Xenopus tropicalis: one gene and its partner. The protein of the gene in region 1 interacts with the protein of each later gene in a pairwise test. Links are inferred from orthologs where the notes say so. Each region holds a gene or a part of one and is shown on either strand. Other genes may lie near its edges.

Region 1 (2,625 bases):
TTGTAGTCCAACAAGTCCCTTTTTTTAATACCAACCTTGCCAATAAGTTTCCATGGGAATAAGTTATATTGATGACATTTCCCTGCAGTTATGATGCCCGCTAGAATTTCACTTCATCTTTTCTTTCTTAAGGTAACTGTGCCCATTTCCATAAGGGCGGCTGGTGGTACAACATGTGTGCCCACTCCAACCTCAATGGGATATGGTACCGGGGAGGCCATTACCGGAGCCGCTACCAAGATGGAGTGTATTGGGCTGAATTTCGCGGTGGTGCCTACTCTCTTAAGAAGGTGTCCATGATGATCAAACCAAATGTATAATGACTAGACTCACCCTGCACAGACATCAAGTAACCCTATGGCATGAAATAAGGCCTCAAAAAAGCGGATCTCTATTACCCCCAATGATATGGGATCACTTGACATCTCTGCTCTCTCACACACACACATACCCCCTTTAACATCTGTTTTCAATGGCTATTGATCTGATGCAAAAACCAGTGCAGGCTGCAGCAGTGTTAATTGGGCAAGTGCGATGTAGATACAGTATATGTGTGAGGTTTTAATAAGAGGGTGGGGGTAACCCTAGCACTGATCCATTGCTCAGGATCATCTTATAATGGTCATTGCCATGTATGTATAATAAAGAGTTTATATACACTGTAAATCCCATGTATCATCATTTTCCATATATGAATCTTTTATCTCTTTTCATGGTTTCAGATAAAGGTCAATCGAGTTTTCGAGTCTTATTTTTTTTTTTTTTTATTCTGAAAAATCTTTGCATTTCAGAAAAACACGTTAAGATAGCAAGAACAATTTTTTTTTTCAAATATATACATCTTCAAAAAAGAGAAACTGAAATGGAAAGTGACCCTTATAGGGGGCTTAAGTGCCAATGCTTTTTTTGCAGCAAAAGATGCAGACGCAAATCTGCTAAAAGCAATAAGTGCTACATTCATGTCTAACTCTGGCTTCTGCTACAGGCACCTAAATCAAGTGTCATTTTGAGAAGTAGGAGGAGTTTGACCAGAAGTGTAATAAGGAGGGGTTATATGGAACAATAGGAGGAGTTACATGGAGCAATAGGAAGAGTGATAGGGAGGAGTTATATGGAACAATAGGAGGAGTTAATTGGAGCAATAGGAGGAGTTATAGGGAGGGGTTATATGGAGCAATAGGAGGAGGTATAGGGAGGGGTTATATGGAGCAATAGGAGGAGTTATAGGGAGGAGTTATATGGAGCAATATGAGGAGTTATAGGGAAGGGTTATATGGAGCAATAGGAGGAGTTATAGGGAGGGGTTATAGATAGGAAATATCTGCAGCAACAAGGTCTATAGGGAAGGCTTACATGGAGAGCCAAGAGGACTTTGTGGAGCAGGATAAGGCTTTAAAGTAAAAGATTATATTGATAAATATATGGAGCAAATGAAGCTTTAAGACGAGTATGAAGTCCTGCTGGTGAAGGATATATGAAGTGTGAGTTGTATGGACCAGTTCTGGTTACTTGTGAAAAAGATTAAGGCACTATGGGAACGTAGTCCCTACACTTCTGCTGGCTAAGCCAATGTGACTCAGCTTTCGTCTGCACTAGGTACACTGATAAACTGAAATTACAGGAACTGAAATAGAAATGAGTATGTTCTAATCTGCAGCCAGGAGAGAGATAAGTATTAAACAGAAGCAAGCCAGTGGCCTACAGGTTATATGGAGAGGCTCTGACAGTGTTGGGCTTTGGTCTCGGTCTGGCCAAGCCACTCTCCACTTACGCTCGGCCAGCGGGTACCTAATAAACACGTGTCCTTAGCCATCACTGTCATCACTTCCCTCATCCTCTTCCTCCTCCTTGATATCGTCCAGTATGATGTCATCAATATCGTTTTCGGTCAGACTCCCTTGGCTCAGGCAGGTTGCTATGGTGGAGCCTGTACTGATGTGGGGCTCACTGGGGTGCAGCACTTTGGGGAGCTGGTTCATGATTCGGCTTTTTGGATGGGCGCACTGCAGGCCAGCAACGAAGGGTACTGCAAGGAGGGCATTAAAGAGATCAGAGTTGGCTATGGCTGTAAAGATTCACCAAATGAGTGGCCGATATGGCCATAAGCTAAAGTGGGCTGATCCAGTCATTCATTCCCAAGCCAATGGGATCCCAAATGGTCCTTTGGGGTAAAACTGCATCAACAGCCTGATGTGGTGAACCGTTGGCGGGCTTATGAGTTGGACCTATAAACACTGGCCATATTGGCATCTACTGTCAGACTGTGTATGGCCAGCTTAGAAGGACGTGCTTGGTAAATAGAGCCCACCCCTTGCAATATCTCTCCTTCCTCCCCCTGTGGAATCCTACTCACCTCTTCGGTTGTAACAATTTTCGGCTAAACAGCTGTGAGTATTGCGGGTTCGAGGGCCTTGGTTCCGGCGAGGTGGGAGGATACAGCTGGGCAGCACAGGGTTTCTACACACATAACACGGACTGCTGACTTCTATCTGCCCGAAACCCCTAGGGAAAAGACAGACAGAAATTAGAGAAGTAGCATAAGTCTGTATGGGAGGCACACCAACGTATCATAATGTCATCTATAGTATATATTCTATAATATATTCTTGTGCTGAGCCACAGAAC
Region 2 (4,332 bases), on another chromosome or scaffold:
AATGTACAAACTAGACCAAAAATAGACATTATTGCCAAAAAAAACCAAATCTTTCTGGGGTTTATTGCACAAGTCCAGAAAAATAGGTGGCTGGAAGCACATCTCAAGGGCTGGCTGAGCACAGCGGGGAATACTGGAGGTAGAGACCCAGATATTGCAGAAAATGGACAATGAACACATTAACCCTAGATATGCTAGTTAGATCACTGCAGAAAATAGATTGAAAGCTGCAAACTTGTCTTCTCCTGCCCTCTCTCTGTTGCCATGCTGCTTTCCATGCACTGCAATAGCTGACATGGATGTATCAAAATTAAAGACAGCTGTGTTCCACACCATCTATCAAAGGAGAGAAAGATCTTCAGAGATCAGGGGGAAAGAGCCAAAGAATGGGGCAACGCAGGACATTTAAAGAGAGATCAGGGACAGTGGGCTGTGCTGCTAGTAAACCAGACAGTTGGGGGGTACGCAGGCAGGGGGAGTCCAATGTGAAACTCTTAGGGGCACATTTACTAATGCACAAATCCAAATCCCGAAGGGAAAAAATTGGATTGGAAATGAAAATTTTGCGACTTTTTCGTTGCCGTCGCATTTTTTTTGTATTTTGCGCAATTTTTTCATCGCCGTCACAACTTTATCGTATTTTGCGTGACTTTTTCGTTGCCGTCGCGATTTTTTCGTATTGAGCAATAGTAAACGGCGGAAAAACTAATCCGATTTTTTCGTGACGGTGAGGAAAAAGTTGCGGAAAATATACGATAAAGTTGTAACGGCGACGAAAAAATCATGGGACATAGGAAAAAGTCGCGACGGCGACGAAACGTTGCAAAAGTACCGATCATTACGAAAAAACGCACCCCATAGATTTGCCAGTTTTTGCCCTGAGCATGAAGGCAAGGTTAGGCACCTGCTTTAGCTGGCACTTTATTTCGGCCACATCTGGTAACTCTAGTTGTTCCTGAATGCAGAGCTTAGTTTTGCTTTCTGCATTAATAATCCAGCTCCAAAGTGCCAGAGAGGTATGCCCCATGGGTAGAGTACCAGCCTGGCAGGTAAAGCGATGCTTCATGCCAATGTTATTAACAGAGAAAAAATATCAAATGAATGCCGGTATTTTTTCCCAGAAAAGGGGAAACTATAAAACATATAAAAGAAAAATCAAATTCTCTCCGATACCGATATCGCTGCCCTCCTGAGCCAAAGCCGCGTATCTGTAAGCGCAGGTCCCGCCCACTGCTCCTGGGCCCGCCCCGGGGGAGGGGCTTGTCGGTAGCTCCCCAGCGCTCACACACGGGGGTTTGTTTTGCTGCGCGGCGGCAGCAGGTAGTTGTGCCCGGGACGTGTCATGTAATTGTGCTGCATGGGCTGTGCGGGGAGTTGTGCGCGGCCGGGACACACAGCTGGGCGCACCGACAGGACCATGCGTCTGACTGAGGTAGGATACTGGGGCCGCTTGTTTGGTACATTTGCTCTGCTATTCGCTATCCCCAAGCCATGAAACTTTGTAGTGATGGAAGGCGAGTGGCACGAAAAGCACAGAGACTTAATCGCACCACAGGGCTACAACTTGATTCATCTCCTTAGTACTAGGGACTTGGCCTGTCAGCACCGAATGGGTTAATGACACGTTCCATCTGATGAGACAAGCGATCCCCCTGCTGTTACAGGGGAGCCCCCAGCATCTTTACTGGCACCGTGTGCCCCTGCCTGGCATGGACCCGCTACTGGCTGCATTGGTACCGGGCATGGTGCCACCGGGATGCAGTTATTAGGCGCCCACTAATTAGGGTTGGTCCCCATTCTTGCCCGGGATTGCGCTTCCCTTCGGCAGTAATTGGGGCACAGTAATAGGTATGTGCCAGTCCTGCGTGTCTGTTCTGCATTAGGGCTGCCTGCTTCTTACAGCTTGCCGGGCACAGGGGTACATAGAGCAGTGCCGGGCACAGGGGTACATGGAGCAGTGCCGGGCACAGGGGTACATGGAGCAGTGCCGGGCACAGGGGTACATGGAGCAGTGCCGGGCACAGGGGTACATGGAGCAGTGCCGGGCACAGGGGTACATGGAGCAGTGCCGGGCACAGGGGTACATGGAGCAGGCCGGGCACAGGGGTACATGGAGCAGTGCCGGGCACAGGGGTACATGGAGCAGTGCCGGGCACAGGGGTACATGGAGCAGTGCCGGGCACAGGGGTACATGGAGCAGTGCCGGGCACAGGGGTACATGGAGCAGTGCCGGGCACAGGGGTACATGGAGCAGTGCCGGGCACAGGGGTACATGGAGCAGTGCCGGGCACAGGGGTACATGGAGCAGCGCCGGGCACAGGGGTACATGGAGCAGCGCCGGGCACAGGGGTACATGGAGCAGTGCTGGGCACAGGGGTAAATGGAGCAGTGCCGGGCACAGGGGTACATGGAGCAAGCAGTGCCGGGCACAGGGATAGAGCAGTGCCGGGCACAGGGGTATATAGAGCAGTGCGGGGCACAGGGGTATATAGAGCAGTGCCGGGCACAGGGGTATATAGAGCAGTGCAGGGCACAGGGGTATGTGGAGGGAGCAGTCCCGGGCACAGGGGTATATAGAGCAGTGCAGGGCACAGGGGTATGTGGAGGGAGCAGTGCGGGGCACAGGGGTACATAGAGCAGTGCGGGACACAGGGGTACATAGAGCAGTGCGGGGCACAGGGGTATATAGAGCAGTGCGGGACACAGGGGTACATAGAGCAGTGCAGGGCACAGGGGTATGTGGAGGGAGCAGTGCGGGGCACAGGGGTACATAGAGCAGTGCGGGGCACGGGTATGTGGAGGAGCAGTGCGGGGCACAGGGGTACATAGAGCAGTGCAGGGCATAGGGGTACATAGAGTAAGCAGGGCAAAGTAATATACCATGCAAGCAGTGCACAGCCACAGGGGCACACAGGGCAGGGAGCTGGCAGGAGGATCCGTAGACTGACAAAATTACCTAAAATGGTTTGAGAGAGAGAGAAAGTCAGAGAACAGTGGCTCATTCATTAGGTAAAGTAAGGTGTTTAATGATCATGAGACGTGCCAAACCCTGCTGCGCCCACCCATCCCCAGGGGGTCTCTATCTGCCTCTGCCCCCCTCTCTCTCCCCGGCTCCAGTTCACATCCCAGCAGGGGTAGCTTGGGACTCTGGATTCATGGAATTTCACTGAATTCTCTCCTTGTCTATTGCTTAGGGCCAATGGGCAAGAATGTATCGAGGATAAAAACTTTGTAAAGTGCTGTATATTTCAGCTCCCCTCACCCCTACACAGTGCTCTAAGCGCCAGACTGCTAGTGCTGTAGTGTGATGCCCAGTGTTTGTGTCAGTATGAGCAAATCCTCCAAACTTCATTCCTATTGGATAATAAATGTTACATCTTTAGTCTAATGTTATTTATGCACTCAATAAACTATCATGGAAGGAACATGACAAACCCAACTGCTACCCAGATTAATGTGCAATTTCACTCTATGGTTGCACCTTTATGTTTTGGGGTCCCTAAAAAGATTTGAGTTCATGTAGTTTCTATATAAGCCATTGCTATAATGGATGGACACATAATATTTGGTAACTAAGAAATATATGGGTTTATTGGAACGATTGTAGCTATAGGAATCACAGTGACATTACTGTTTGTACTCCTTTGCAGTTGAGCATGTGAAAGAAAGTTAGCTGCTAACAGAAATTCCATAAGAAAGTTTTTGTTGATGCAGATGCCTTAAAGGACAACTAAACCCTAAAAATAAATATGTTTAAAAAAGTCATATTTTATATACTGAACTTATTTCCATACTTTATATACTGAACTTATTGCACCAGCCTAAGGTTTCAGCATCTCAATAGCAGCAATGATCCAGGGCTTCAAACTTGTCACAGGGGAAGTGTCAGTGACACTGCACATGCTCAGTGTGCTCTGAGCATCTATTGAGAAGCTGAGCCTTGGAGTCATCACAAATTTTCAAGTAGAAAATGAGGTTGGTCTATCATATAAACTGATGCTACAGGGCTGATTATTAAATTCTGATGCTAACTGCACTGGTTTATAAGCTGCCATGTAGTAATTATCAGTATTATTTACTAATCAGCCTTATATTGTGACATTTATATTCTATATATACAGGATATTGTGAGTTGGTCCCTAAGCTCATTTAAGTGACAGCAGCACAGAGTATGGGCAGCGAATCAGCAGAAAAGAAGATGGGGGGCTACTGGGGCATCTTTGGGGGCACAGATCTTCCCTGCTAAAGGGCTGTGGGTGCCTTGGGCTGGTACAGGAACCCAATACATAATGTACAACATTTCTGGCCTTAGGATTAGGCCAAACTAAATCC

What was found.
Region 2: the proteins of shfl (region 1) and tns2 interact in binary tests that used the Homo sapiens proteins (3 or more experiments, as listed by UniProt). The link is inferred for Xenopus tropicalis from reciprocal best matches to the Homo sapiens genes SHFL and TNS2.

Annotation. Positions count from the first base shown.
Region 1 is NC_030679.2:136,804,355-136,806,979, forward strand, and holds the end of shfl (shiftless antiviral inhibitor of ribosomal frameshifting protein homolog), read right to left. Parts: intron 2,503-2,625; coding exon 2,354-2,502; intron 2,027-2,353; coding exon 1,806-2,026; 3' UTR 749-1,805; downstream 1-748. Other genes in the region: angptl6 (angiopoietin-related protein 6), read left to right, coding at 133-320.
Region 2 is NC_030678.2:147,615,952-147,620,283, reverse strand, and holds the start of tns2 (tensin-2), read left to right. Parts: upstream 1-1,277; 5' UTR 1,278-1,357; coding exon 1,358-1,432; intron 1,433-4,332. UniProt on the Homo sapiens protein: Tyrosine-protein phosphatase which regulates cell motility, proliferation and muscle-response to insulin. Phosphatase activity is mediated by binding to phosphatidylinositol-3,4,5-triphosphate (PtdIns(3,4,5)P3) via the SH2 domain.